2 linked regions of the Stegostoma tigrinum genome follow. The protein of the gene in region 2 purifies or fractionates together with the protein of the main gene of each other region. This does not show direct contact. Links are inferred from orthologs where the notes say so. Each region holds a gene or a part of one and is shown on either strand. Other genes may lie near its edges.

The links.
Region 1: the proteins of cct4 (region 2) and wdr5 purify together in Homo sapiens (affinity purification with mass spectrometry; 3 studies listed by BioGRID and IntAct, with this or other methods). This does not show direct contact. The link is inferred for Stegostoma tigrinum from reciprocal best matches to the Homo sapiens genes CCT4 and WDR5.

Annotation. Positions count from the first base shown.
Region 1 is NC_081382.1:45,448,707-45,456,403, reverse strand, and holds the start of wdr5 (WD repeat-containing protein 5), read left to right. Parts: upstream 1-4,693; 5' UTR 4,694-4,810; exon of another isoform or gene 4,811-6,125; intron 6,126-7,697. Other genes in the region: putative uncharacterized protein BRD3OS, read left to right, coding at 3,111-3,449.
Region 2 is NC_081362.1:831,012-838,232, forward strand, and holds the start of cct4 (T-complex protein 1 subunit delta), read right to left. Parts: upstream 3,011-7,221; 5' UTR 2,890-3,010; coding exon 2,781-2,889; intron 2,348-2,780; coding exon 2,295-2,347; intron 1-2,294. UniProt on the Homo sapiens protein: Component of the chaperonin-containing T-complex (TRiC), a molecular chaperone complex that assists the folding of actin, tubulin and other proteins upon ATP hydrolysis.

The DNA.
Region 1 (7,697 bases), on a different chromosome or scaffold from region 2:
CTACAGACTAAGGGGGTGGCCATGGGCACCCGCATGGGCCCCAGCTATGCCTGCCTCTTTGTAGGTTACGTGGAACAGTCCCTCTTCCGCACCTACACAGGCCCCAAACCCCACCTCTTCCTCCGGTACATTGATGACTGTATCGGCGCCGCCTCTTGCTCCCCAGAGGAGCTCGAACAGTTCATCCACTTCACCAACACCTTCCACCCCAACCTTCAGTTCACCTGGGCAATCTCCAGCACATCCCTCACCTTCCTGGACCTCTCAGTCTCCATCTCAGGCAACCAGCTTGTAACTGATGTCCATTTCAAGCCCACCGACTCCCACAGCTACCTAGAATACACCTCCTCCCACCCACTCTCCTGCAAAAATTCCATCCCCTATTCCCAATTCCTCCGCCTCCGCCGCATCTGCTCCCACGATAAGACATTCCACTCCCGCACATCCCAGATGTCCAAGTTCTTTAAGGACCGCAACTTTCCCCCCACAGTGATCGAGAACGCCCTTGACCGCGTCTGCCGTATTTCCCGCAACACATCCCTCACACCCCGCCCCCGCCACAACCGCCCCAAGAGGATCCCCCTCGTTCTCACACACCACCCTACCAACCTCCGGATACAACGCATTATCCTCCGACACTTCCGCCATTTACAATCCGACCCCACCACCCAAGACATTTTTCCATCCCCTCCCCTGTCAGCTTTCCGGAGAGACCACTCTCTCCGTGACTCCCTCGTTCGCTCCACACTGCCCTCCAACCCCACCACACCCGGCACCTTCCCCTGCAACCGCAGGAAATGCTACACCTGTCCCCACACCTCCTCCCTCACCCCCATCCCAGGCCCCAAGATGACATTCCACATCAAGCAGAGGTTCACCTGCACATCTGCCAATGTGGTATACTGCATCCACTGTACCCGGTGCGGCTTCCTCTACATTGGGGAAACCAAGCGGAGGCTTGGGGACCGCTTTGCAGAATACCTCCGCTCAGTTCGCAACAAACAACTGCACCTCCCAGTCGCAAACCATTTCCACTCCCCCTCCCATTCTTTAGATGACATGTCCATCATGGGCCTCCTGCAGTGCCACAATGATGCCACCCGAAGGTTGCAGGAACAGCAACTCACCTGGGAACCCTGCAGCCATATGGTATCAATGTGGACTTCACCAGTTTCAAAATCTCCCCTTCCCCTACTGCATCCCTAAACCAGCCCAGTTCGTCCCCTCCCCCCACTGCACCACACAACCAGCCCAGCTCTTCCCCCCCACCCACTGCATCCCAAAACCAGTCCAACCTGTCTCTGCCTCCCTAACCTGTTCTTCCTCTCACCCATCCCTTCCTCCTACCCCAAGCCGCACCCCCAGCTACCTACTAACCTCATCCCACCTCCTTGACCTGTCCGTCTTCCCTGGACTGACCTATCCCCTCCCTACCTCCCCACCTACACCCTCTCCACCAATCTTCTTTACTCTCCATCTTCGGTCCGCCTCCCCCTCTCTCCCTATTTATTCCAGTTCCCTCTCCCCATCCCCCTCTCTGATGAAGGGTCTAGGCCCGAAACGTCAGCTTTTGTGCTCCTGAGATGCTGCTTGGCCTGCTGTGTTCATCCAGCCTCACATTTTATTATCTTGGAATTCTCCAGCATCTGCAGTTCCCATTATCTCTGCTCTATTGGTAGCTTAGCCAAATGCTTTGCCTCCATGTATATACTTATTTTTGGTCACTATGCAGTCCCACTCTGTGGAGAGAAAGCAGTTAACGTTTCAGATCCAGTCACTCATGTCCAGAACTGATTGTACCTAGGGAAAGATTGGTATATATGCTGAAGATGGGGTGTGGGAAGAAGGGAGGAGTAAACAATAGGTGGAGATGGAGCCCAGAGAGACGCAAAAACAGTTGGGCAGATAACGGAGGTAAAGGTCAGTGTGGGAGAATGAATAGCTAATAAGGGGGGCCATTAATGGCTGACCGTGGTTTGGTTTGTATCATGAAAAGGCCTGGTGTATGGGAGTTGGGGTAAGAACATGGGAGAGATGCTCAAGCCCCAAAATTGTTCAACTCAGTACTTTTACCATGCATTTATTATTTATTTGCAGATAGATCTCCATTTGATATGGGTCATGTGAATGTGTTTTTTTTGGCTTCAGTTTACTCACAATTCCTTTTGTCATGCCCAGGCTCACGATTGTTTGCCGTAATTTCCTCTTTCTGAAAGTCTAAGTAACCTATTATCCTGGAACAATTTTACTGGGTCAGCCAGTCTGTGATTTTGGTCTTGCTGAGTCAGTTGATTCTCACCTCGTTGAAATTGGCTATCCTGGAATTATGTCTATTCTGAATGTTCCCTGTTCTTTTCTACCATCACCTTACGATTTTATGAAAAGTTGGGGCAGGTAGGTTCAATCAGGCATTCAAGAAGGTGTTTGTTTACTATTTAAATGGGGTAATGGGGAAAGGGCAGGAGAATGGCACAAAGTCATGAAGCTTGTTTGCTGAGTGTTGGAGACACAATGTTTTATTACCTCCTTTCTGCGCCATAACAATCTGTTACCTTCAAATTTCCTGATCCTTTCGGTTCTCATCCTCCTGATCCAGACCCAGCTCTGCCTCCCTCCTCATCAAGGCGAACTGATCCGGAAACTTCCATCACTTTTAGAAATTATCGCCAGTCTCTGCCCCTCACACTATTACTGCCCCGGTCGATATTCTGGACAATCGTGTTGTCTCCTTTTGTCATTTTCCTGCGAATTTGTCCCGCAGTTTTAAGACAGCTCGACTGTCTCTGGTAATTTTAGGCGCAATCTAAATGCAGTTCGCTCCGAATGGAATGAAGAGCTGCGAGTGTGGGGGAAATCTGAGACAAAAACACGAATTGCTGGAGAGGCTCAGCGGGTCTGGCAGCATCTCTGCAGAGAGAGAGGTTAACGATTCGAGCCCAGTGACCCCCTTCCTCAGAACCGTTATTGGGCCGCCGTTGTTGTCAGGGGCGGGAAGCCGGTTGCCATGGTTTCCCGGGGGGGGCGGGAAGCCGGTTGCCATGGTTTCCCGGGGGGCGGGGCCGAGGGAGCTATGCCTTCCCTCGGATGGATGTCCCGTCCGGGCCTGAGGGATGAATGGGGCCGGCTCCAGGTCCGGGTCCCCCGCCTCCCGCGGGCGGACGCTGCTGGCCGAGAAGGCCGTGTCTGAAAGCTACGCCCGGCTCCGGTACCGAGACACTTCGCTCCTGATCTGGAGGCAGCAGCAGTTACAGCTGGAGCGGCGGACACTGGGCTCAGGCCCGGGCCCCGGACCCGACAGCTTCCTGGGCCGCAGCCACAGCATGTGGTACCGGCAGTTCGGCAATCAGCCTATCCTGGTCCGGGACAGGAACAAACTAAGCCCGGGGTCCTGCCCCGGCACAGGCCCGGTTCCAAATCCAGGCCGTTCCCGTATTTGCTCATTAATGTGAACTGGATCCGGATTCAGGACAAAACCGGGACAGAGTAGCAAACCCAGTAACAACTGGAGAAGCCATTCCAGTCAGTACCGGAACAACTACTGAAGATCACAGTGGGTCAGGCAGCATCCATGGAGTGAGAGCAACCTAACTTTTCGAGTCCAAATTTCAAGGCTGGAGTAACACCAACTATCATTAGCGGCTGCAGTATTTATGACCGACAGTAGCTCTGCAACCAGATTAACACCAAGACGACACATCTGGACCAATATGGGAAATGACAGTGTACATCCGTAGTATTTACAGATTTTCCTGGATTAATACCTCGCATAAATCTGTTTGGAGACGGGATCTATGCAGATTATCACTCTCTGTATTCATCCTCCCTGCAATAGTGTTGTTATTTATAAACTGATTTTATTTATGGATCAATGCCTGAGCTGGAATAGCTGGGTGTTTCAGACTGTGCATAAGAACAAATCCGTAGTAGAAACCCATCTGGGAGAATCAGAACTGGATTATGAGATTGACCCATTTTCCAGATGTGGGCTGGCCACTCAGGTGATGAGATTACATTGCGCTGTAGAGAATAAACTGTGTAAAAAAAGTGATAGAAGTTTTGTGTTAGAGTGGAATTACAGTATTCAAAGCCATTCTAATTGTGTTAACATTACTCCCTACTGAGCAAGGCTTGTTTTTAATTGACAATTTTATTCATACAGCACTTTTCACTGACATACCCCTCACAAATATTTTGTGCTGTGAATGATTTCCAGCTTCTTGAGCATGTGATTTTTTTAAAAAAATAATTCCACCAAATAGCTTCGGCTGCTTGTGCTCTGGGTTGAAACCTTTGTCTCTGCAGCTCTCTGTCCCTCCTTTAAGCAACTTATAACCTACCTAATAACTTAACATGCTCTATCAAATTTGATTTATTATCGTCAAATATACCTAGGTGCAGTGAAAAGTGATAACACAGTATGGAGCTGGAAAAATACAGAACATTTTCTGGAGAAAGGTCCCAACCTGAAACGTCAGTTTTCCTGCTCCTCTGATGCTGCCTGGCCTGTGTTCCCCCAGCTCCACATGGTGTTATCTTTGGCTCCAGCATCGGCAGTTCTTACTATCTCTTCAGTGAAAAGCTCTGTTTTTGTGTATCTGTTACAGGAAAGATGTTGCAAAACTTGAAAGGGTGTTACGTGTATGGAATGAGCTGCCAGAGGACATGGTAGAGGCTGGTACAATTACAAAATTCAAAAGGCATCTAAATGGGTATATGGATAAGAAGGATTTAGAGGAAAATGGGCCAAGGTTATTTTCGGATATCTGGTCGGCCTGAAGTTGATTGCATACTGTACACCTGAGTACAAGCAGTAAGTACATATGAAGTTCATAAGTTGATAGAACAAAATGAGCAATACAATGTTAAAACTGCAGAGGAGCACAAAAAGTGAGATCAACATTAAATTTGTGACATCCCTTCAAAAGTCTAATAACAGCAGGGAAGAAGCTGCTGTTGAACCTGATGTTACACATGTTTAAGCTTTTGTACATTCTGCCTGACAGAAAAGGTTAGAAGAAATTATAGCCAGGCTGGAGGGATCTTTGACGTTGGCTACCTTTCCAAAGCAACAAGAAGTGTAAATGGAGTATATGATGTTCCTATGAAGCACATGATTTTTTTTTGCTATGACTAGGTGCTGTACAAATGTATATTGGAGTTTCTGTTGGAATGCAGTTCTTTTTGTGACAACCTTTTTCTCCCAGCACTACCGTAAACCCAGGATTGTGCATGTTGGATAATATTTAGCTGATTCTGGGAGCTTAATGTCAGCAGGTGACATCCAATAGGCTTAAGGGTGACAATACAGCATTGTTTATTTACAGCATAGATACAAGTTGTCTCATCTCCACCAATGTTTCTGCTTCCCCTATGCTTCGTCCCACTCCTGTTCATTTAGATTAACCTTTTATTTATTTCTCCCTTATGTGTTTATCTACCTTGGCCTTGTATACATCTTATTCATTACAATGACTCCCTGCAATAGTGAATCACATTCTCTCTGGGTGGAGAGGTTTCTCCTGAATTCCCTTTTGGAATTATTAGTGATAGTCTTATATCAATGATCTCTGTTTCTGGTCAACCTGAAGTAGAAAAATCTTGAAGTCTAAGATGCTGAAGATACAAAACAAAAACAAAAATTGCTGGAGAAATTTGGCAGGTTTGGAGTATTTGTGGATGGAAAGCAGAGTTAATGTTTTGAGTCCTGTGCTGTGAAGAAGATTCTGAAGAAAGGTCATTTGACTCAAAATATTTAACCTTGAAGTCTACTCTCTTGACTCCCTTGGTAAAACAATCACAGAATTATTGATTTTACGATCCTTACCAATGGTACTGTGACTACAGGACAGATAGCTGAATTTGAGGAGGCAGTTTTCATGTCACTAGACTAATGCTCTGAGGACCTGTGTTCAATCCCAGCATGGCAGATGGTTATAAACAGAATTCAGTAAAAATCCGGAATAAAAAAACAGTCTAAAGGTGACTGTCAATTGTTTCAGAAATCCATCTGGTTCAGTAATGCCTTTAAGGATGGAAATCTAGTGTCCTTACTACTCTGTCCGACATGGCCAGACTCTCAGCAATCTCTTAATTACCCTCTGGGCAATAAATGGTGGCTTACTCAATGATGTCAGAATTCCATGAATTAATTAAAAAAGAAAAAGGGTCAGGCTGGGTACAAGAACTGTAGACTGTGAGACTACTTGACGCTGGGTACAAGAACTGTAGACTGTGAGACTACTTGACGCTGGGTACAAGAACTGTAGACTGTGAGACTACTTGGCCCATTATGCTTGTGGCAGCCTTGTTCGTTATACCTTGTTCTGCTCATCAAGCCTTTTTACATGTTTATCTTTCATATGGAAAGTTATCGTGCTTTCTACTGCAACATTTTTTTCTGATGTGGTATCCCATGAGATAACAGTTCCTGTGTAAAAAGACATTCTGATCTCTTGATTGTGATATTTTGCGCTATCTGGCTCCCTGGAGCTTTTCTTTACCAGTTTCTCTTTCAAAAAGCTTCAATAATTCTGAGCCACTCCAACCCACACACAGGCAGATAACTTCAACTTCTTGGGTCAAACAGTAAGAGTGCCAGCAAATAAAACTCCTGATTGTATAAATCCCAATAACTCTCTGTAGAGTCTTGCTATCCTTCTTACTATGACCTCTTCTAAAATCTGTACACATTGGACACTTTCTCTTTTCATTTGTAATTAGGAATGATTAGATTAGATTCAGTTCCCTACAGTGTGGAAACAGGCCCTTCAGCTCAACAAGTCCACACCGCCCTTTGAAGCATTCCACCCAGACCCATTCCCCTATAACCCACACACCCCTGAACACTACCGACAATTTAGCACGGCTGATCCACCTAGCTTGCACATCTTTGGACTGTGGGAGGAAACCGGAGCACCCAGACGAAACCCACGCAAACACAGGGAGAATGTGGAAACTCCACACAGACGGTCGCCCGAGGCTGGAACTGAACCCGAGTCCTGGCGCTGTGAGGCTGCAGTGCTAACCACTGAGCCACCGTGTCTTGATGAATAGGCATCCAAATGTATGAGGCCTGGAAATGAAATGGCTACTCCAGAACACTATCTATTCTGACTAGTAAACACCAAATGACACATTTATCTGCACTTGGCCCACAACCTACTGTGCCCTGGTATTTTAAGATCTCATTTAGATGCCCCTTAAATGTTGCAAGTACCTGCCTCCACCATCCAATTAGGTAGCACATCCATATTTTCCACACCCCTTACATGAAAAACATTTTTCTCATATCTTCTAAACCACTTTTACGCCCTCTGGTCTTAGACGCATCTGCCAAGGGGAAAAAGATTCTCATGATCTATCCAGTTTATGCCTCTCAAGTTTTTCGTTCCTCAATCGGACCTCCCCTCAGCCTTCTCAGCTCCGTGGAAAACAAACCTAGCCTATCCAGTCTCTCATAACTGAGATTTTTCATCACAGGCAACATCCTGGTGAAATGCCTCTAAACCTTCTCCGGCACAATCACATTCTTCCAATAATGTGGTGAACAGAACTGCACACACAACTGTAGCCTAACCCTTGTTTTTGTAAATATTCACAATTACATCAAGCTTGAGGCATCACAGGGATGATACTCTTCTGTACACAGCACCTAAGCCCTGTCCTGACTTGCTATTCCACCTTCACTTCCTTTTGTA
Region 2 (7,221 bases):
GAGAAACTGAGGAATCCCACACTAGCATTCTGGAATTGAATAAAAGTAATTACGTAGGCACGAAGACAAATCTGGTTTGAGTGGACTGGTGGAAAGACAAAGAAGTAGGACAGTTGATAAGCATTGGCAGATGTTTAAGGAGGCACACAATTCCTTCCAAATAAAATATTTTCCACTTATCATTGGAAGAGTATTTTAATCAATTAAGGAAGTTAGAGCAGAACATTTGGAAAATCAATTTAATCAAGCAATATTAGCATGGCTTCATGAAAAGGATATCCTGTCAGATTAATTTTAAGTTTTTAGAGGAAGTCTGAACCAGAGTGAATACACAGGATCGGTAAACGTGATGTATTTGGATTTCCACAAGGTGCTTGACAAGGGATTTCACAAAGGTTAAACTGTAACAGCCCATGTTCGAGAGTATGTTGGCATGGACAGGAAAATTGGCTTAGGGGCAAGAAAGTGACAGCGGAGATATGGGTGCTTTTTCAGGTTGGGGACCCATGACCAATGGGATTCTACAGAGATCATTATTGGGACTGAAACTGTTTATGATATATATTGGTGACTTAAGAGGAAGAATGCAAATGTACCTGCAGCCAAATTTGAAGATAAAAATAGGTGGAGACACAGGCAGTGAGAGGGATACGAGCAGTTGACAGATATTTACAGGTTAAGTATGTAGGCAAAATGTTGGCAAGAGTATAATTTGGGAAAACATGAAGCTCATTTTAGAGGGGAAGCTAAAGAAGAGTATTAATTATATGGAGAAGAGCTGCAAAAATCTGCAACATAAAGTGACGTGGGGTACTTGGGCATGAAGCAAAAAGCTAGCACAGATGCAGGCGATTAGGAAGGCTAATGGAATGCTGGCCCTTATTTCAAGGCAGTCAGAGTAGAAGAGTAAAGAAATTTTACTGCAAATGTACAAGGTGCTGGTGAGACCACATCTAGAGTATTGCGAGCAGTTTGGATCCCCTTAAAAAAGCTATTATTTCATTGGAGTCAGTTCAGAGAAAGACTCACCAAGATGACCACCACTATGGAGGGACTGTCTCATGAGCAGCGGTTAAAATGTTTGGAACGTACTGGAGTTCATGATCTCATTTGAACACATAGGATTCTTAAGGGACTTGACAGATTAAATGTTAAGGATACAAATTTAAAACTGAAGTGAGGAGATATTTTTCCCCTTGGAGTTGAAGATATGTACTTGAGGATTGTTAGATCAACCATGATTCTGCTGAATAACTGAACAAGCTCAAAGAAGCAAACAATCTACTCCCACTCCTATTTCTTATGGTCCAAAAGAACAAGGATTGCACGAGAAGGAAAAAACATCCATGGCTAAGCAAGGAAAGTGAAGATAACACTAAGATTAAAAACAGCAGCATATTATACTGTAAAGGCCAGTGGTAGGCTAAAAGGCTGGGAAATGTTTAAAGATCAAAAGGGTTACTAAAATGTCATAACAATAAGCTACAAAGGAAAACCACAGTAAAATACAAAAACAAATAGCAAAAGCTTCAAGATATGAAGAAAAGGCAAAGGTTTGTTTAAGTAAATGTTAGTTCTTTGGAGGGAGGAGTCTGGAAAGTTAAGTGGATAACACAACTTTCGAATATCTGGTCGGCATGGACATGTTGGACTGAAGGTTTGTTTCCCATGCTGTATATCTCTAGGACTACGACTCTGTCTGGTTTAAAAGCAAGACAATTATCAGTCATGGGAACTGGTGTATTCTTCACAAAGACATATCTGTGGACTATAATCAGCACTCTCCTCTCGTACAGTAAAGTGTTCTTTTCCCCCCTTATGTTAGTATTCTTGCAAGTTGTCCTGATGAGCACAAGACAAAAACTTCAAAATCTTTTTACAGCAATGTTCACATTTTGCTGTCTTATGTCTACTTTTGAAATCAATCTTAATTAAATGACAGAGACAGTAAGAACTGCTGAAGTCAGAGATAACAGTGTGGAGGTGGAGGAACACAGCAGGCCAGGCAGCATCATGGGACCAGGAAAGCTGACGTTTCTGCTCGTCTGATGCTGCCTGGTCTGCTGTGTTCCTCCAGCTCCACATGGTGTTATGCCTTAATTATGAGGCAAAAAGTAAGTAAAAGCCTGGGTAAACTGCAGATATGCAATAATTTATGAAAGCAAACGTTAGATTGATTACTTATGGAAATTTTATTATGCCAAGTACTAAGCATTAACCTAAATGCTGCTTGAAAAAAGCCAAAACAGATTCGATATGTGAAAGAGAAACAAACAAGAGCACAAAACATGTACCATCTTATCCATGCCTTTTGGGCCAAGACTTGTCCGTATGGCATCTGCAACAGCTGAAAGATAAACATTTTTTTTAAAAAAAAGTATTGATTTGAGTTTTTTAAAATTCACATGGATGAAAATCTGCTGAGCGGAGGGTATCTGTATCTGTATCTGTGGGGCATACATTAAATTTACCCTGGGGGTGGGTGAATCGTCGATGTTGGGATAGCCAGCCATCACTTTTACACTAAACGGTCTGTACATATTCCTCCAGATCCTGAACATGTTCCCCGCACCCCGGTTACGCGGCCCATTTCCCCAACCCCAGCCCGACAAACAAACTTTGTCTCGGTGGCTCGGCAGACCCCAGTAGGTCCACCCCCCCCCCCCCCCCCACCGTCCACCCCCCCCCCCCCCCCCCGCTCCCCTTCATCCATCCCCGGGTTTCTCCGATATTCCCCTGCTGTTTTTCCGCCGCTGGCTCATATCCCCACTCGGCCCCACCTTTGGCGGCGGAGATATTGCTGAAGCGGATCTGAGCCGGTTTCTCACGGTCCTGATAAACTCCCCTGGCCGCGCCGTTCGGGCCTTTACTACCGCTTTTCTCGGGCATCGCTTAGAGCGGGGATGGGACCAGACGGCGGCTCAATGGGGCCGGATGGCAACGGATTGCAGCGAGGCAAACCGGCGTTCTCCAAGGCGGAGAAAGTTCCAGAAACGGAGAGGACCCAAACCCCGCCCCACTGACATAAGCGGCTGTCCGTGCATAAGCCGGGCGGGAATTCCTGAGGAGCTTCGTCTCAAGAATAAAATCTGGGATATTCAGTGAAAAGGTTAAAAATAAACATAAGGGGAAATCACGATCTGGGTTCGAGCCGCCACATGGATCTACCTCAGTAATGTTCTGGAAGAAGGGCCAATATCTGATTCCAGAATCACAGCAATTTGGTTCATTCCAACAAAAACTGAAGTTACCGGAAAACCTCAGCAGGAATGGCAGTATATGTGAAGAAAAACAATCAGAGTCCAGTTAGGGATGTGCAAGCGAGGTGTGTTAGCCATGGGAAATGCAAGGTTACAGGGATGTGGTGGAGGACTGGGGATGGGTGGGATGCTCTTTGGAGGCTTGGTCAGTGTGCACCTGTTGGGCCGAATGGCCTGTTTCCCCACTGTAGGAGTTCTACAGTTCTATAGGTGTGGCAACATCTGTGGAGAGAAATTACAGTAAATCCTGCTTCAAAAAGCATAACCCTATGAAGACCACTTAGTAAATCATGATCCATCATTAAAGAAATTACTCCTCATCTCTTCTTAACTGGTGAATTCCTTATTCTGAGAGTATGCTCCCACAACTGGAAGTAACACTGCATCTTTCCTGTCAATCACCTAAGAACCTTACATATAGCAATAATGTCTTCTCTTCCATTCTCCAATGAGTACAAACTAAATGTCAGAGTTGGCCTGACGGCTAACTTTTTCACGTAGAGTGTGGTGCTTGTGTGGACAAGTTGTCAGGAAGTTGGGGAGGCAGGTACAATCACAACATTGAAAAGGTATCAGGTTGGTATATGAATATGAAGAGGGAAATGAACCAAATGCTGGCAAATGGGACAAGGTCAGTTTGGGATGTCTGGTCAGCATGGATGAGATGAACTTGCTACAGAGAAGGGGAGATTAAATGAAAGAAAATCCCTGATATTCATTTTATAAGTCACGAGTAACTATTTATTTATTTAACCATAACAGTGAACAAATTATCAGAACTACGAACAAACCAAACAATTCAAGTCTAACACCTAACTATTCTCAAACTGAGCACAATTCTCCTAGTATACTATTCCAAGAAACACAAGTCCCATGTATATGACCCAAGCAGTAAGAGAAAAATACAAATTAAAACTTAGTCTCTCAAAGTCTAAACAGAATGTAGACTTTGAAATGCTCTGCCTTCTCCACTGCCTGTCCAATCATAATTGCCTTTCTTCTGCTGGTCTTAAGTCATTAAAGCCTTTCTTCTGCTGATCCTTCTGACAGAGATGTTTTCTCTGTGTGTTTTTCTGTGAAGACTTTCAGCTAGAAGTGCCATGGTACCCTTTATGGATGGGTAGTGCTTTCTCAGAGAGCTTAACGATTTCTGTGAGTGCTAGATGCTTAGCCCTCAGACGGTGGTTTGTTCTCACCCAATTTTCAAAAACTCGCTCCTTATATACCTTGGATGACATATTAATTTTCTTACAATAGCATTGGTCTGAGGTTGCCAAAGCTGTCAGATTTAAATTCAATTTTCAATCTCTAAGTACTGGGTTTAAATGAATTGGCTGATTCCAGCTTGTTGCCAAAACATCAAACCAAGCCCAAGGTTTCCAGTCACACAGCCAATTGATGTATGTTACAATTTTAGAACTCTCTGTATATTATCAGCTACACACAGATCATTATTTTCCTGTATACATCTCTAAGCTTAGAAGAGCACTTTATCTCTTAAACATCATCTCTGCACAACTTCATAATACCTCCCCACTTTGGGAAAAAAAATTATGAAGAGGTGGCCCATTTCCTTTTAAACTTTAACACCATTATCACAAGATACATAGGTCAATAATCTAAAGTTACACCCTTCATACTAATTCTACATACACATTTAACATTGGACAATACTGGTTTTTATCTTTTCTACACACTTTGTTTTAATCACGTGATAACACATCTGCAATAACATTTTTACCATGTGTAATGTATAATCTGTAAATTAAAAGCCTGTAACATAAGACACCAATGAAATAGTTTCGTATTGATGTCCTACACAGCCATCTCTGAAACATTTTTTGTACATAAACATTAAAATGCTCTAAGGCCAGCACCAAACTCAGTATCTCTCTTTCAATGATGGAGAGTTTTGTCTGGTGGATGTTGAGTTTCTTTAAAAAATAACAGTTGGCCTTTCATTTCTGCCATCCTGCTCTTGCATTAACACAGTTCCAACCCCTACATCGCAACTTCAAAGGGTTTCAAGAAATTTGGTGTGTGTAAAACTGATGCAATGGTTAACACGGGTTTTAAATTCTTAAATGCCTCCTGGCATTGTTTTATCCAACAAAATTTCATGTTCTTCTTTGGCAAATCTGCCAGCAGTACCTCTACGCTACTGAAGTTTGATACAAACCTCCAATAGCATCTACTCAGTCCCAGAAATTGAAGCACCTCTTTATTCCAGGATGGTCTTGAAAATTTCTTGATAGCCTTCATCTTCACATTCCTCAGGGTTATCTTCCCATGTCCGATGTTGCGTCCCAAGAATGTCTTCTGCCTTCACAAATTCAGCTTTTGCTAAATTTATAACCAGTTTTGCATGCCATAGTTTTTCTGCCAAATGTACTATGTGATCTTTATCCCCAAGACAAATGTAAAAATTTTAGATTTCTTATCTACTTCTTGCTTCATTAGATGCTGTATCACCTTCAGATGTTGTACAGCTGATTTACCTACTCTGTTTACTCTTTCTCTCACCTCAGAGACATAATCCAACTGTAAGATCTCTGACTTCAGACCTATTAACTTTCTTTTAATTAATTTTAAAGACAGTCTTAGTTCGTGTCCGAATATCAATTCAAATTGTATAAACTGTGTCTACTCATCTGGGGCATCTCTAATGGCAAGCACTATAATTAGGATATCATATCCCAATCATTTGGGTAATCTTGGCAATAATCCTTCAGCGTGGTCTTTAGGGTCTGATGTCACCTTTGCAATGGTCCCTGGATTCAGGATGGTACACACTTGATTTAAAGTGTTGGATGCCTAAACTATCCATGACATTCTTAAATAGTTTGGCAGTAAAATTAGACCCTTGGTCTGACTGAATCTCCCTGGGTAATCCATAGTGGGAAAAGAAAGCAAGCAAATCTCCACGAGCTTTTCTGTGTTAACTTTCTGAAATGGAATTGCCTCTGGAAATCTGGTAGACACACCTAGTATCATTAGCAAATACTGATTTCCACTTTTGGTTTCAGGGAGGGGACCTACACAATCAATTATAACCTGTAGGAAAGGTTCTTCAAATGTGGGAATTGACATCAAAGGCACTGGTTTTATTACTGACTGTGGCTTTCCCACCAATTGACACATGACAGGTTCGGCAAATTCAACCACATTCTTATGTAATCCAGGCCAATAGAAATGCTTTTATATCTTAGTCTGAGTCTTCCTCACTCCTAGATAATTTCCTACAGGTAACTCACATGCTACCAACAATACTTCCTGTTTCTATACGACTGGCAAAACAATCCAGTGCACTTCCATCCATTTCTCCTCTGCACTAACCTGCCATGGTCTCCATTTTTGCCTTAAAATTCTATTCTTAAGATAATAAAATTTGGGAATACGTTCTGATTCCTTTTCAGAGTAGGCTTTATAATATAAACATTTATTGTCTCATCCTTTTGTTGTAACTCCATTAATCTTTCAGAACTAAACACCTCTGCCAGATCCTACATCTGATGAAGGGTCTTGGCCCGAAATGTCAGCTTTTGTGCTGCTGAGATGCTGCTTAGCCTGCTGTGTTCATCCAGCTCCACATTTTATTATCTTGGATTCTCCAGCATCTGCAGTTCCCATCATCTCTGACCTCTGCCTGATCCTCTGCCTGTTCAGGTAGACTTCAACTCCTTTGTCTCTCTCTTTGGTGTTTCTTCCTTGCTGTAACTTATGACTGTGGGATCTTGTTACCACATAATCTGGAAAAATTCCAGAGTATTTTTCTTTTAACTCCTCAGTTCCCTGGTTTTCCTTCGGCTTCTCCACTACAAGGGGTGTCACTCCCACCTTTGATTCTGTTTGGTCATTTCCAAAAACAAACTGTATTCCTGGAACAGACACTCTTTCAATCACTCCCACTGTCACTTCCCCAGGCTTGATTGTACTTTCCAATCTTATCTTACACTCTCTC